Linked DNA regions of Xenopus tropicalis. The protein of the gene in region 3 interacts with the protein of the main gene of each other region in a pairwise test. Links are inferred from orthologs where the notes say so. Each region holds a gene or a part of one and is shown on either strand. Other genes may lie near its edges. The genes, in order: syp, ric8a, sh3glb1 and coq8a.

Region 1 (3,989 bases), on a different chromosome or scaffold from region 3:
GCAGGCAGGGTATTTTTTAGTTTATAAATATATCTTTCAGTAAACGTTTGCCCTTTTTATTTTAGGACCCCTGTTGGGGATATGGAGTTACATGCCCAAAATAAAAAGAATCCTAATGGAATATAAGTCAGTTAACTTGCAAGAGCATTCGTTGATCTCCCTAAGGTCTCCTATTTTTCTTAACACCTCTTTGCCAATTCATCCTCACCTCACTCCCTTCCTTCTATATCTTTCCAGGAGCCCCTATGCAAGTTGCTCCACTTCTTTCCAGGATCACTTTGCTCACAATCTCATTTGATTCTGGATACATTTACTAGAAATGCATTACTGTAAGTTTATCTCACTGGAACAATTTAATTGGTTGCCATTGGTAACTGCCCATGTGCAAATTTGCCCAGTGTTGATAAATGATCCCTACTGTCTTGTTGGTTTAAAGCCTCTTCTGATTTTTCTCTTTCCCTCCTTTCCCTGCTTGTTCCACCTTCTCCCCCAATCCTTTGGTTTAACCCAATTCTTCTCTGTAAATATAAACCTTTCTCTCTTCTTGCAAAGAAAAAACAAGTCTCTCTTATTTGCCCTGTATCTCCCATGCATTCTCTTGGGGGTCATCCTGGCCTTTTCTGGATACCCCCTGTCTCTCTTTTACAGCTCTTCTCTATCTTTGCCTTTGCAACATGTGGAGGTTACTCTGGACAGTTCAGTCTTAGCATTGACTGTAAGAACAAAAATGAGAGCAAGCCGAACATTAAAGTCGACTTTGAATATCCTTTTAGGTGAGTGATTTCTGGGTGGATTTTGACTTTACAATTTTAAACTCAGACCCCGCCCATACCAAATCAGCTTGTGAAGATCTGGTCTGTCCATGGACCTCAAGTTCATTCACAAAGCTAAAGCTTACAATTTCTCTTCTTATCTTACTGATCTCTCCTTTGTCACACAGGCTGCACCAGGAATATTTTGATGCCCCAACATGCCGCGGTGCCACTAGGAAGGTCTTTTTAGTTGGAGATTACTCTTCATCTGCTGAGTTCTTTGTCACAATTGCTGTATTCTCCTTTTTATATTCACTGGCGGCCCTGGCTGTGTACATCTTCTTGCAGAACAAATACCGTGAGAACAACAAAGGACCAATGATTGTAAGTATTGTTGTACAGGGGGGGCAAGCTGAGTTTGAGTTAGAAAGCAGAAGGCAATATGATCTCTGTATCCCAATGCCCTTTTTTGGTCACTTCTCAACAAGTCTTGCAAGTTCATTCTTGGCAGTTCCAAATTTTTCATGTGTACTTACAACAATAGTGTGTTAGTATAAGCCTTATAGAACATCAGGGTATGATACCAGCATAGTCTATTCTCTCAGTAACCATTCAGCCTGTTTCCTTTTATTTCAGGACTGTATAGCAACAGCCATTTTCACTTTCATGTGGCTGGTCAGTTCCAGCGCTTGGGCCAAAGGATTGTCCGATATAAAGCTGGCAACTGACCCAGAGCTGGTGATTGAGACTCAGATCCCAGAATGCAGGAAGTCAGAATATGATATGACGTGTTCAGAGCTGAGGGACCCTGTTATGTCTGGGCTCAATACCTCTGTGGTGAGTAACTGTGGCGCATTTTCATTCCATCTTGTATTATATGTATTATTACTCTACATGCAGTGACAACAGTAGTCAGGATGATGGACAGTCATAGTAAGGTCTGTCTATACTGTTCCCTTGTCACTGGTCAACCACTAAGGCCAATGTCAGCAAAGGCCTTTCTTGGTGATGAAGCAAAAGCTATCCTCCTTCGTTTCCCTTTCCTTAGGCCTTTGGATTTTTGAACTGCATCCTCTGGCTTGGAAATGTGTGGTTCGTCTTCAAAGAGACAGGATGGACAGCTCCCTTCATAAAATACCCCCCTCCAGCACAAGAGAAACAGCCAGCCCCTGATGCCTACAGTCAAGGAGGCCAGGGATATGGGCAGCAAGACTCCTACGGACAACAACAAGGTGGCTACCAGCCAGATTATTATGGCCAACAGCCAGACTACAATCAGCAGGGGTACAGCCAAGGGGGATATAGTCAACAGGGGGTCCCTACCTCTTTCTCAAATCAAATGTGAGCTGGTAAGTATCCTCATGAACAGGAATAGGGGAAGCGTGTGGGGGGTGTCATGAAACTGGGCTGTAAAACAAAACCTGCCTAAAGAATACAATATATTCATTCCCTCCTGCAGTTTAGGAGCAGCCAGTGGTGGTAAACACATTGCAATCATCTGTCAGCAGGTTAGGCTAGACTGGTTCCTCTAGGGATTGACAAAGGCAAAATATTTTTGCCTTTCTTTATACCCCTCTATATGTACAGAAGCAATGCTCATTTCTCTTTTATTTGTCCCATCCACTCCATCAGAAGTATTTTTCCTTCTAGCTATATGCCACCTGTTTCATAGACAGCAGACTTCACAGCTTAAAGACGGTGTTCACCTTTAAAGTAACGTTTGTTATGATGTAGACAGTGATATTCTGAGACAATTTGCAATAATTTTTTATTTTTTTGTTGTTCTCCAGGTATTAAGCTTTTTGTTCAACAGCCCTAAAGTTTGGTATTTTAGTAGGTATCTGTTTGCTAGGGCTTTCTTTATCTCAGCAACCAAGCAGTGGTTCAAATGAGAGCTGGGAATATAATAGGACTGCATAGAAAGATGAGTAATAAAAGTAACAATAATAAAAAAAATTTAAGCTCACAAAGCAATAGTTTGTGGCTGTCATCTGAAAGCTGGAAAGTTGTAGAAGTAAAAGGCAAGTAATTTGAAAGCAATAAAAAATAAATAATGAAGGTTAACTGCACAGTTTCTAGGAATAGGACAATCTATAACAAACTAAAAGTTAATGTAAAGGTGAACCACCCCTTTAACTTCCTTCAGAACTCAAAGATGTAAGTACTCCTGCTGAATTTGGGATGCACTGCAGAGGCAAGCTTGGAATTAAACGACATTGACTGCTTCTCAATGCATGGGGTTGATGGTTTTGAGCACTATATCTGGGCAGTTTGGCCTTACTTCTCAACCATTGCAACATAAATGGGACGCCATCTTTATTTAGGCTGTCCATAAATCAGATTGGATCCCAGTCTGTTTGGCAAGAATATCTGCTTTGCAGATGTGAGTTATAGACAGGGGCCGATTGGGCCAGTGGGACACTTGAAAGAAAAATGCGGTGGGTCCCGTCAACCCAGACCTGACCCCTGCCTGCTCTCCCCTGTTGCTCCCCTGCTGCCCTCCCCCCGATTGTGGCAAAAGTAAGCATAAGGTGCAGGGGAAAGGGCTGACGGTGAGCTGGCTGGCAGCAAGGGCCCCAGAGGGGGTGTGGTGGCCCCTGGGGTAGCAGCAGGTGAGTGGATGGTTGGTTTTGGTTGTTTTGGCCCCACCTGCCAAATGACTAAGGGTGAAGACAAACAAAGCTACTAGTAGGAGCTACTTGTCACGGCTACTGAACGCCAGAAAATAACCTGCCATAGACAATACTGAGAACTGCCTCTGCTAAAACTGTTATCAGTAAATGATCAGCATTGTCTATTTTAGTAGCCAAGTAGCTGCTACTAGTAGTAGCTACTACTACTAGTCTTCACACTTAAGGTGCACGCTAAGATCCACTCGCTTGGCGAAGTCACAAAGCAAGCGAATCTTCTCCCCATATCCCCACCTACTGGTGGATGATATCGGGCTAATTCGGTAGTTTGGCCCTGGGGCCCAACGATTGAATTAGAATGACGGGTATAGGCATCAATGAGCCAATGTGGTCCCTCATCCGACTAATTTTTAAACCTGCCCAATCGAGATCTGTGCGATTTCAGGCAAGATGTCGGTCAGCAGGCCCGTCGTTAGTGCCCATACACGGGCCGATAAGCTGCCAAATCAGTCTAAGGGACCGATATCAGCAGCTAGAATATGTACAGCCACCTTTAGGGTGAAGACACATGGGCGATTAGTCGCCACAACTTTTAAGTAAGTCAGTT
Region 2 (4,779 bases), on a different chromosome or scaffold from region 3:
CAAGCGTTTGCGATAACTTGCAACGAGTCTTTTACAGCGCTCTGGAGGAATTTTGGCCCACTCATCTTTGCAGAATTGTTGTAATTCAGCTTTTTATTTGAGGGTTTTCTAGCATGAACCGCCTTTTTAAGGTCATGCCACAACATCTCAATAGGATTCAGGTCAGGACTTTGACTAGGCCACTCCAAAGTCTTCATTTTGTTTTTCTTCAGCCATTCAGAGGTGGATTTGCTGGTTTGTTTTGGGTCATTGTCCTGCTGCAGCACCCAAGATCGCTTCAGCTTGAGTTGACGAACAGATGGCCGGACATTCTCCTTCAGGATTTTTTGGTAGACAGTAGAATTCATGGTTCCATCTATCACAGCAAGCCTTCCAGGTCCTGAAGCAGCAAAACAACCCCAGACCATCACACTACCGCCACCATATTTTACTGTTGGTATGATGTTCTTTTTCTGAAATACTGTTACTTTTACGCCAGATGTAACGGGACACGCACCTTCCAAAAAGTTCAACTTTTGTCTCGTCGGTCCACAAGGTATTTTCCCAAAAGTCTTGGCAATCATTGAGATGTTTTTTAGCAAAATTGAGACGAGCCATAATGTTCTTTTTGCTTAAAAGTGGTTTGCGCCTTGGAAATCTGCCATGCAGGCCGTTTTTGCCCAGTCTCTTTCTTATGGTGGAGTCGTGAACACTGACCTTAATTGAGGCAAGTGAGGCCTGCAGTTCTTTAGATGTTGTCCTGGGGTCTTTTGTGGTCTCTCGGATGAGTTGTCTCTGCGCTCTTGGGGTAATTTTGGTCGGCCGGCCACTCCTGGGAAGGTTCACCACTGTTCCATGTTTTTGCCATTTGTGGATAATGGCTCTCACTGTGGTTCGCTGGAGTCCCAAAGCTTTAGAAATGGCTTTATAACCTTTACCAGACTGATAGATCTCAATTACTTTTGTTCTCATTTGTTCCTCAATTTCTTTGGATCTTGGCATGATGTCTAGCTTTTGAGGTGCTTTTGGTCTACTTCTCTGTGTCAGGTAGCTCCTATTTAAGTGATTTTTTGATTGAAACAGGTGTGGCAGTAATCAGGCCTGGGGGTGACTACAGAAATTGATATTGAAATTGAAAATTGAAATTGATAAACCACAGTTAAGTTATTTTTTAACAAGGGGGGCAATCACTTTTTCACACAGGGCCATGTAGATTTGGAGTTTTTTTTCTCCCTTAATAACGTAAACCTTCATTTAAAAACTGCATTTTGTGTTCAATTATGTTATCTTTGACTAATAGTTAACGTTTTTTGATGAGCAGAAACATTTAAGTGTGACAAACATGCAAAAGAATAAGAAATCAGGAAGGGGGCAAATAGTTTTTCACACCACTGTAAATGCTGTTCTCTCTACACAAATAAAAAATCTAAGCCTTTATAATAGGCAAACGCCAAGGGGCTCACTATATATCAGGCTGGTAGGGGGCTGTTTTAGGCCTCTGTATACTCAAAATGCCAACCCATAAGCTCTTGTTCAACTACATTTTACTTTAACGTTATAGGTTGGACCCCCGACGTATATACTGAAGGCCTAAAGCCTGCCCTGCCCAATGCATGGACACACAGACGGGCTGCGGCGGGAATAAAGCAGAATAAGGCTCAGTGGCTATTGGCTGAGCCTCCCTGGTCTCCCACAGGAGCAGGTGCCACAGACCCCCTCACGTTTCCGCCTGTGTGAGCCCTGTGTGGGCGGGGCTTCATACTAATACTGCGGTGCGGGCTCCGCCCTGCTCTGACGTCACCGTGTCAATCAGCAGAAGAGAAAGCAGCGGCGGCGGCAGAAGCAGCATCAGCAGTAGCAGCAGTCTCATCACATTTAGCTTCTACTTCCTGCATCAGCCACAGCGAGCAGCCTCCATGCCAGCCATGGATCCGGGTACCCTCCTGGACAAGCTGGAGAGTGGCGACCAGGAGCTGGTGCAAAAGGCGCTGGCAGAGTATAACCAAGAGGTGAGGCGGGGATGCTGGGCTGGCTATGATTGGGCTGGCTATGTCTGAGCTGGCTATGGCTATGGCTGAGCGAGAAGCGTGTGCTTGGTGGGCTCATTGACCCTATAGTGGGGGTGGGTGAGGCAATGAACAGCAGCTCACTGAAACCCTACAGATAGTTACCGTATGTACTGCTGCCATTTGTGTCTTGTGGTAGTAATTGTAATATCTCCTATCTGGGGCCCTCCATCTGTTGTTGTTGAGCTGCAGCTCTAAGGTCCATTTCTTTTGTTATGCTGCTAGTGATTTCTCAGCAAGAGCTGGTGGGAGAGCTTATTGTATATAATATAAATATTATGAGGGAAAGGTATTTGGGGGTATATAAGAGGCAGGGTATATATATGACATATATGGGAGGTATATAATGGGAAGGTATTTGCTGGGGGTTAGTGATGGGAAAGTATAAGGGGCTATATGAGGCAGGGTACATGAGAGTTAATGAGAGCAGGTATATGGGGGCCAATGTTCCCTCAAATTCATTTTTGATTATGTGTGCAAAAAAAGATTTTGCGCACAAATTTGAAACTTGTGTGTGGATTTTTAAAACCAGTGTGCTCAGGTCAGAATAAATACAAAATTCTTTGTGTGCACCACAGTCTGTAGGGCGCACAGATGAGAGGGAACATTGATGGGAGGTATGTAAGGCAAGGTGTATGAAGAGATATATGGGAGGCAAATGAGGTAAGGCATTTAAGGGGAAGGTATTTAAAGGAGAAGGAAAGGCTAGTAAAGAGTTAATCTCAAGCTGCAGGCATACCTTCAGTTGTCTCAATAGTGCCCTTAAGTCTCCCCATATTTCTCCCGTTCAGATGATCAGAAGCCAAGCAGGAAGAAAAGACGCTGAGCTGTGTAAAGAAAGTTCCCATAATGCCTCACTCCTGCACCAAGCGCAAGACCAGTGTACATGCTCAGTTAGTAAGACTATGAGGAAGCTTCCTGCTGATTGGCTCAGATCCACATTCCTAAGGGGGGGAGAGAGTTCTTAGCATTCTTGAGGGAGGGGGGAGCAGGAGAGAGTTGCTTATCTCTGGCAGAGGAAAACAGACACAACAAATCTTTTGACAGAGAACTCAGTGCAGCGTTTCTGTGAGTGCTTATGGCTGTATTTACATAGACATTTCTGATAAAGCTTATTTAGTTTTTACCTTTTTCTTTTTCCTTTAAGGGTAAGGTATTTGAGGGGGTATGCCAAGAGAAAGTATGTGGGGGGTATATGAGCCAAGGCAGTAAGTTTATAGGAAGGTATATAATAGTGAGTTTATAAGAGAAGATATGAGGTGCCTCAGCTTTTAGCAAGTTGGAAAGAACAATTTTGGTTGGGGGCTGCCATGTTTTCCAGCATCTATTCCGGGTTCCTGGTTCTGACTGCCTAGCAGAAGCATGAGTAAGACTGTACAGCGCTGCGTACCCTTGTGGCGCTTTATAAATAAAGTTATACATACATACATACATACATGAGTGGTGAAAGCTGATCCTGAAACCAGAAACAATGGCTGACACAGCCAAATCTGGCAGCCTCCAACCCAACTATGCAGTTTGGGGACATACTTTCCCTTGAAGATGTTTTGGGTATTTTAGTTGTGCACTCTGGGTCAAAATAATTTTCATTAAATATTGCCATATAAAACATTGTTGGGGAGCGCCATGTTAAGACAGCCTATAAGTGAACTGAGCTGGACTGGCAAATGCCATAGGGGTTGCTTTAAAGGACAACCCAGAATATAGGTTTTTTTTGCTGAATTCTAAGCAACTTTGCCATATACATGCCATAACATATTGGAAAGTTGCTTAGAATTATGTTTTCTTTCATTAGGCAAATTTTTATTTTTGAGGTTTGACATGCCCTTTAAGTTTCCAGGGACCAAAGTCGCTATTTATTAGGCCTAAAGGGGTCTGTTTGGGCTTCTCTGTACCTGAAATGCCAGGGGCTCTTTAAAACTCAGTCTGGACCTAGTCTTGAGGCCATAACTATGTAAACATGCAAACTTGGTAATAACTTTTAGGGTAAAGAGACACAGAGCTACTAGTAGCAGCTACTTGTAGTGGCTACTAAAAGACAATGCTGATCATCTCCTGATAACAGTCTCAACATGTGTTTTAGCAGAGGCAATTCTTAGTATTGTCTATGGCAGGGTATGTTTTGGGCGTTTAGTAGCTGTGAAAAAGTAGCTGCTACTAGTAGCTCCGTGTGTCTTCACCCTTAAGGTAATAGGGAATGTGTTAAAGAGCATGGCACTAGTGATGCACAAACAGGTCTAAAACCTATGGTTTACCTGCAGGTTTGTGGGGGTTCAGGATGAAATATTGGCATCCCTATTGGCTGGACCAAGTGTGGTAACACCTATAGCAGTGATTCCAGGATGGATGTCAACAATAATTTCCTGGGTGCATCCCTGCCAGTATCACTATGCTGCCCTAGCTCCTGACCAGTACTGCCCCAGCTCCTGACGGATTCAGGCTATATCAGATAGAGCTTAGCCTTACATGTGACCCCTGATTTTTAGATTTGGCTATAAAAGTGTTTACACAGCATCAGAGGGGCCTCTTGGGAGATAAAATTATGGTTAAAGCAAAGAACAGAGGGACTATTATGTTGTTCCAGAACTGTTAGCTATTTTCAGCTTGTGTGGCTCTAGCTAAACAGGGTTTGATAGGTACCAGTAACATACATGCAATATGGCTAGTTATACCAGGGCCCAGGATGTGTTTTTAGCATCTTGGAGGAAACCCACACACATGGGGAAAATTTACA
Region 3 (3,989 bases):
TCTTTATAGAGCTCAGCATTTTTTTTTTCATATGAGGCTTCTGATCATCTTTCCTTCTCCTTTAAATGCTATCTGTGGATGTTCTCCCATCCTTAAGAAGTGTGTGTGTGTGTGTGTGCGTGTATATATATATATATATATATATCCAAAAAAGACCAGCAACACCGAGTTATGTTCCAAAAACAATCAATTGTGTATTAAAAACGCATGAACAGCCAACGACCTTGAGAAAGGTCCCGATGGGGACCGAAACGTAACGTTGGCTGTTCATGCGTTTTTAATACACAATTGATTGTTTTTGGAACATAACTCGGTGTTGCTGGTCTTTTTTGGATATTTAAATCATTTACCTTGCACCCGAGCTAAGAGCTGAAGCAGAGTGCCTAATTTTGTAAATATTTACTCCTGGCAGGCTCAATGGAAGGGTCTTCCAAATATCCAATTTATTAGTCAGGGCTTGCATTATCGGATCAAGATTTAATTGAGTATGTGTGCGGAGGTCTTTCTATATAATGACACCCAGGTATTTTAAGCTTTTAACCACCAATTTTTGAGGTGAGTCTACTGAGAGGGGGATCTATGGTGAAGCTATTGATTTACTCTCATTTACCTTATACTATGCCTCAAAGCATGTCACTGTTTATAGTATGGCCTTCAGCGACTGTTCAAGATTGGCAAGATATAGCAGCATATTGTCTGTGTAGAGTGACATCTCAGTGCCTGCATTTAGCCTCAGCCCTTCTATTTGGTGATTTACTGGGATTTGAATTGCTAGAGGCTCTATGGCCAGCGCAAATAAAAGGGTTGAGAGGGGGCAACCCTGATGTGTGCCCCTCCCAAGGTAGATGAGCCCATTTACAAAAACTTTTGCCTCTGGTTGTGCATATAGTGCTTGCACCCACACTATTAACTGGTGCCCCAGATTATAAGTAATAGTACCTCCCAAAGATATTGCCACTAGACAGTATCAAAGGCTTTGGCAGTCTCCTCTGCGAAAGCTGTTTACTTGCTGATCCATGTATGTGGTTGGTTTGTTATGTGTGTGTACTACTCCTATTAAATATCTTGATTGAAAGATTTCCCTTTTTTGCTTGTGGATTCACAAGGTGCACATTATTTTTTATTTTTACCAGGCACTGGCAGGGGTGGTTTACCATTAAGTTAAATTTTAGTATGTTCTAGAATGGCCCATTCTAAACAACTTTTTCATTGGTCCTCATTATTTGTTTTTTACACTTTATGAATGATATTCCTTATTCTTCTAACTCTTTGCGGCTTTCAAATGGGGGTCACTGACCCCAGCAGCCAAAAAAATATTGGTCTGTGAGGCTTCTGTTTTATTATTATTGTTCCTTATTATTTCTGCACTTTATTTTCTATTCAGGTCTTCTCCTATTCATATACCAATCTTTCTCCCTAGTTGTTAAGGTAATTAGGAGCCTAGCAACAAATTGTCTCAGAATATTACCGTCTACATCATAGTAAAAGTTAACTCAAAGGTGAACAGCGGCCCCTTTAAAGGAGAAAGTTTCAGCTTCTCCATTGCAGCAATGATCAAGGCCTACAAACTTGTCACATGCTCAGTGTGCTCTGGGTAGCTGTTGAGAAGCTAAGTTAAGTGGTCATGACAAATTATCAAGCAGAAAATGAGGTTGGCCTGTCTTATAAGCTGAGGCTACAGGAATGATTATTAAATTCTGATGATAATTGCACTGGGCTCAGAGCTGCCATGTAGGAATTATCTGTATTAAGTACTAATCGGCTTTATATTCTGACATTTATATTTTATATATACAGTATATTGCGAGTCGGTCCCTAAGCTCAGTAAGTGACAGCAGCACAGAGCATGTGCAGGGAATCAGCAGAAAAGAGCATGGGGAGCTACTGGGGGCATCTTTGGAGGCACAGATCTTCCCTGCTAAAGGGCATTGGTTGCCTTGGGCTGGTACAGAAGCCTAAAATATAATGTACATCATTTCTGCCCTACTTCTAGGTAGGCTTTAGTTCTCTTTTAAAATTATTAGAATAATACTATAAATGAATACAAAATTCCTCAGCACTGTTACAGAGAACATAAACAGTATTAAAGGCAAAAACTAAGCAGTTATAAATAATGCTAATGTCTCTAAATTGACACAGTATGTCTAAGGGCCCTGCCTATAAGTTATTTTGTTCTTTGGGTCTTAAAAACAGGAATACAAACTTTGAGAAATAAGGGCTCTTTTGCATCTGTGCAAAGACTATAATTTACCTAAAAAGTGGTTCCCAACTTTAACTGAAGTGAAGGCTGTCAACTCCAGTGAAATGATACACTGTAGAATATGTGCTGTAAATTCTTTTTAATAATATACAGTTAATATAAAAGACCTTTCCTGAGGGACCAGCTTTAAACAAACTAAAAAAAGAGAGCCTGGGGTATATAGGTAAATCTGCAAGCTTTTCATGTAAAACTGCTGAATCAGCCAATAAATTGTACCACTTAAAGGCAGTAAATCCTACCCTATTGTGGCTTATGAATAACTACCAATTCCAGAATTAACTTGTTTACACCGTTCTATCTATGGAAAAATATATTCAATTTTAAAGTCTATGTAACATATCAAAATATTTTTTGTGCCTGTAACGTTGCTAAGTAAAGCAGAGTTGGAAGTAAAAAAAAACCCATTAAAGGGGTCACCATACAAAATTACATTTCAAGGACATTTTTATGAGTTTGTGGATTACTTTCTATTAAATATCAAGTGCAATGCTTCAGTAGATAAGTTTTTTCAGATTATCTAGTATGCTAAACTTTGTTTTTTCCTTCATTAGATGAGTTACCCATATTTTGTTCTAGTTGTGTATTTTGTGAACAGAATGCCTAAATCAAACAAGGTCAGAAGCATTCAAGCGACTGCAGCTTTCTGCACAAAGGACAGAAGGTTACATTACAGACTACAATAAGAGTATCCTCTATAAAATTGCACACTGGTACATGTTTCTATGAGTATTGTTTTTTTGCGATGCTGGTTAAAACCTATTCTGTGATTATAGATGGCAACATTAGGCAATCCAAGCAACTGAAAAGGAAGTTACTGCTTGGAAATCTCTGAGACAATGCAACTTGAAATCAGTGTTTTTCTATTGTATCTCTGTAAATGAAAAATTTTGTAAATAGACTGCTGAAGCAAAATAAGTTTAATTAATATGTTTATAGATTTGTACCCTGAAGGAAAAGACTGTAAGTTTTTTAATAATGCAGTAGCTGTGTTAATAAAACAATTGCTATTTTACAGGAAATGCTCTCATTAAATGTGGAGAAACACAAAAAAGAATAGGAGTGGCTCACAGAGAACTTGTTCAGACCGCAGCTATAAACTTCCTTACTCCACTGAGAAATTTTATTGAAGGAGATTTTAAAACAATGTCTGTAAGTAATACACATTCGACTCTATAAGACTTAAGACCGCCATTAAAGTTGTAGGTGTTCCTTCCTACAGTGTAAACACTAACAAAACCCTCAACAATTGTTGCTACATAATGTTGTGGCTACAACTAAAAACTGCAAAGGGTTTGTGTAAGCACTCCAAGGCTAACTTTAACTTAAAACAACAAATATGGAGGGTAGAAAATTTAGTACTGTACATTATAGTATTATGTAAGATGAAGAAGTCTTAGTCTTCCCAATGTGAATGCTTGGGGTTGACTGTCAAGCCACTGAATCTTTAGAGAACTGCTATCATAAGTTATTTACCCGTAAACCTTTGAGTGTCGCAAGTAGCTCTTAAGGGCAGTGGCAATAAATCTTCACTATTGCGGCCAACTACCATCCCATCAGCGATGGACGTTCTTGCCGGTGGGATGGCATGTTGGAGAGATTAGTCACCTGCAATAGTGAAGATTTATTGCAGGCGACTAATCTCCCCGTTTGCCACTACCCTTAGCCATGGTCATGTACTGCCATATAAACAAACAGCAGGAATAGAACAAATGTGCAATCAATTGTGATG
Region 4 (3,989 bases), on a different chromosome or scaffold from region 3:
GATTATAAAATAGATGCTAAGGTTCCTTCTATAAAATTCATAAGGAGGAAATGGATATTTTATTTAGGCCAGATACGTACGTTTTATTGCTTTGAGCTGCCCATACACGCGCCAATATTATACAAAATGCAGTTTTTGTATTGAACGTGTATGCTCGGCTTTAGCTAGATTGATTTATCTGCTGCGCTGCAAGTTGGAGTGATATCCCCCCCCTCACCCCCAGCAGCCGATCAGCGGGACAATGGGAAGGGAGCAAGATAGCAGCTCCCAGTAGGTATCAGAATAGCACTCAATAGTAAGAAATCCAAGTCCGGCTTGGGACTCCTCCAGAAACAATAGGTTAGCTGAAAGCAGTTCTAATATGTAGCGCTGGCTGAAAGCTCAGACTCAGGCACAAGGCACTGAGATGGCGCCTACACACCAATGTTACAGCTACAAATACATTTGTTGGTTCAAGAATAAAAGGTTAAATGGCAGAGGGGATTATTTGCTGTGTAACAGTGTCATTTAGAAATAAAAAGTGCCCCATAAATATCATGGCAGTGTCCCTTCAATGGTGCATAAACCAATGGATCATGGGGAGGAGGACAGTGTCAGTGTATTGAACATGTGTCGGAATTTTATAAGTTGGTCCTGTAAATGTAGGAGAGAAGAGTGGGAACAAGCAGGTCACACTGACCCACAGAGGAACACTGATCACTTATCTTCTGCACAGAAATAATTTGTATAAAAAATGATGCCCATCATCTGCCCTGTGTGCCAGTGGGTGCCATTTACCCAGTCGTTTGGATGAATCCTTTGTTTGCGAGTAGATCTTGGATCGTGGAGACTCCCTGGTTCATTGCAAAACGCACTGTTAAATATGTCCCCTTTGAATGGTTTTATTTTTGCTTTTTTTTAATGGTTTGTGGTCTTTTGAGTGAATAATATTGCAGAATATTTTATCGACCGCTTTAGATGCTCTTGCACACCTGTGTTTGCTTTTTTAGCAGTTTAAAGTGCTGTACAGCTTATATATTGTACTAGTAGCTGAAGGGGGGGACTTTTATAACAAGCTCCCATGGCTTGAAAATGCAACTTGACACTTGGCGTGCTTCATGGAGGTCAAACCTTTGGCAGGAACCCCATAGTGCTTAACAAGGTTACAGATATCGAATAAGATTCTAAATACAGGTATGGGATCCTTTATCCGGAAACCCATTATCCAGAAAGCTCCGAATTACAGAAAGGCCATCTCCCATAGACTCCATTATAAGCAAATAATTCTAATTTTTAAAAATGATTCCTTTTTCTCTGTAATAATAAAATAACCTGTACTTGATCCCAACTAAGATATAATTACCCCTTATTGGGGCAGAACAGCCCTATTGGGTTTATTTAATGGTTAAATGATTCCCTTTTCTCTGTAATAATAAAACAGTACCTGTACTTGATCCCAACTAAGATATAATTACCCCTTATTGGGGCAGAACAGTCCTTTTTGGGTTTAATTAATGGTTAAATGATTCCCTTTTCTCTGTAATAATAAAACAGTACCTGTACTTGATCCCAACTAAGATATAATTACCCCTTATTGGGGCAGAACAGCCCTATTGGGTTTATTTAATGGTTAAATGATTCCCTTTTCTCTGTAATAATAAAACAGTACCCGTACTTGATCCCAACTAAGATATAATTAATCCTTATTGGATGCAAAACAATCCTATTTAATGTTTTGAATTTTTTTTTAGTAGACTTAATGTATGGAGATCCAAGTTACGGTAAAACCCCTTATCTGGAATACCCTTGGTCCCGAGCATTTTGGATAACTGGTCCTATACCTGTATATTAAAAAGTTGCTTAGAAAATACATTTTTCTGGTGATTATGCAAAAGCAGTGTTTGTGCTGAATCCCCGTTCTGGCAGTATGCGTGCCCTGCTTCCTGACTCGGGGATGCCACTTCTATTTCATTGTTCCATGCAGTGACGGAAATTAAGAAAATAACACTAATTATGACCCGGCTGTGTGTGCGTAAGTCTCCATTTATATGCTAAACAACCCATTCTCTATTTTATACTCTCCATCTCAGCGAGGGGGCACTTGATGTTAGACGAGGGGCAATCATTGTCCCTATTGTACAAACCCCAGCACTTCAGGGAAGATCTTGTTCCAGTCGAGTTAAGGTTCTCTGCTGTAAATGGGGCAGTTAATTGGGCAGTTCTGCTGTACCAGGGATTCTCCATTTCAGTAGCACCTTGTTTTTACCCCAGGTTCTCACCACTCTGAACCATAGTTGCCATGGCTTCTTTCCATCCCTTTAATCTCTATCCCCCCCCCCCCCCCCTCCAGAGAAAAATAAAAAGGATCCCTTTTATTCACTTTGCCAGCGTTGTTACTGATTCCCATTACGTAAAAGTATTTGCGTAGTCTCCCACTGATCTCGCACTCATGTCACAAACAAAACGCCCTGTGTCACCCATGGCTGGGATTATCGCCCATAAATTCTCTGTGGTGCAGTTTATGGCAAGTTATTGCAAGTGTGGGGTGCCTGCGAGTGCTTTGCTTTGATTCCAAGGGAAAGTGAGTCTTGGGGAGTAGTGGGTTTGGTTGCCCTTTAGTCTGTCAGCTGTGTTACTTCACGGTCAGTATAGTTATGCTGTTTATACAAAATTATACCTCTAATTTACTTGAGTTTTATATAATGGGATCCATACTGTTTTTTCTATGTGGGCCTTTTTTCCTTCTTGGTTTAACCCATATCTGCTTTTCCCAACAGGCGTTGGAAAGGATAAGCAATGATGGCGGGGGACGCACTGATGCTGATGAGAGGCCTGGCCAAGCTGAGCAAGGCTGTACTGGAGGTGCAGGCAGGGCAGCTGCGCCAGCCGACACTTGGAGTCAATGGCATTGGATTTGCCAGGAGTTGGCAGGTAGCAGTGGAGGAGCGTTTCAGTGCTGCTATGGGAAAGATGCAGGTGAGTACCCATTATATGGTCCCCCTGTCATTTTAATAGATATTTACTCAAGCCCAATGTGCCCCTAGATAAGTGTTTTTCCTTCTAAGTGCATCTTCAGAACATACTTCTATAGATGGAATTTATAGTTCTAGTTTCACCACAGGAAGGACATTTGTGTGTTTTTATGTATTGTGAGGGGCTTCTTGCCTAACAGACTTATTTTCAGTTTTCCAAGCAGGATCATTATTCATTTGGGAATTTTTTTTCAAGCCAAGAAATGCTGACGTCGGGTTTGGGTTCTTGACAAAGTGCAGTGTTTATCCAAATCCAGTGCAGCCTTTGGCTTCAGTACATCACTTTGCCTTTTTCATATCAAGCATAGAAACTGTTACACAAGCTGCTTGTTTCAGGGGGTTAATCCCACACAGCGCGTCATTTGTTGCATGAATGTGTTTTCTGCCATAGAGATGCTGTGTACGTATTCAAGTACAGCAACCCTGTGGCGGTGAGTGAGACTCAGAAGTCTTGTCTGCAGTCAGATAACTTGAACTTCTCTCTTTATGCAGCTGACCGTGAACTATTAAGTAAGCCAGAACCACATTCCGGAATGCTGTATGAGCAAATTTAATGTTAGATGAAAGCAGTTTGAGTCTGGAGTGAAAAAGCTGCTGCTTCCTCACCGCATTAGGGAGGTACTCGTGTACCTTGGGCACCCTCAAGGCAGAAGGCTTCTGAAGCACCCCCTTTTGCCAGACTCCCTTTTAGCTCAAGTCAAGGATACAAATGTAGGAAAACATTTCAGTAACAGTCACCCTGCTATAGTTCCAGGGGTACCCAGGGCACAAATAAGCACTCACCCCAAATCCCCCCCCTAACTGGCCTTCAGGCTGGGCCCCCTTAGCCCATAACAAGGTTACAGATATATAGAAACATTGGGGTAACAGTCACCCCGCTATAGTTCCAGGGGTACCCAGGGCACAAATAAGCACTCACCCCAAATCTCCCCCTAACTGGCCTTCAGGCTGGGCCCCCTTAGCCCATAACAAGGTTAC

Evidence for each region.
Region 1: the proteins of sh3glb1 (region 3) and syp interact in binary tests that used the Homo sapiens proteins (3 or more experiments, as listed by UniProt). The link is inferred for Xenopus tropicalis from reciprocal best matches to the Homo sapiens genes SH3GLB1 and SYP.
Region 2: the proteins of sh3glb1 (region 3) and ric8a interact in binary tests that used the Homo sapiens proteins (3 or more experiments, as listed by UniProt). The link is inferred for Xenopus tropicalis from reciprocal best matches to the Homo sapiens genes SH3GLB1 and RIC8A.
Region 4: the proteins of sh3glb1 (region 3) and coq8a interact in binary tests that used the Homo sapiens proteins (3 or more experiments, as listed by UniProt). The link is inferred for Xenopus tropicalis from reciprocal best matches to the Homo sapiens genes SH3GLB1 and COQ8A.

What each region holds. Positions count from the first base shown.
Region 1 is NC_030684.2:23,923,774-23,927,762, reverse strand, and holds part of syp (synaptophysin), read left to right. Parts: intron 1-648; coding exon 649-773; intron 774-940; coding exon 941-1,136; intron 1,137-1,388; coding exon 1,389-1,589; intron 1,590-1,800; coding exon 1,801-2,097; 3' UTR 2,098-2,101; intron 2,102-3,989.
Region 2 is NC_030683.2:110,857,063-110,861,841, forward strand, and holds the start of ric8a (synembryn-A), read left to right. Parts: upstream 1-1,836; 5' UTR 1,837-1,895; coding exon of another isoform or gene 1,896-1,904; coding exon 1,905-1,988; intron 1,989-4,779.
Region 3 is NC_030680.2:106,586,449-106,590,437, reverse strand, and holds part of sh3glb1 (endophilin-B1), read left to right. Parts: intron 1-3,275; coding exon 3,276-3,409; intron 3,410-3,989. UniProt on the Homo sapiens protein: May be required for normal outer mitochondrial membrane dynamics. Required for coatomer-mediated retrograde transport in certain cells. May recruit other proteins to membranes with high curvature. May promote membrane fusion.
Region 4 is NC_030681.2:7,734,513-7,738,501, reverse strand, and holds part of coq8a (atypical kinase COQ8A, mitochondrial), read left to right. Parts: intron 1-2,756; 5' UTR 2,757-2,775; coding exon 2,776-2,955; intron 2,956-3,989. UniProt on the Homo sapiens protein: Atypical kinase involved in the biosynthesis of coenzyme Q, also named ubiquinone, an essential lipid-soluble electron transporter for aerobic cellular respiration.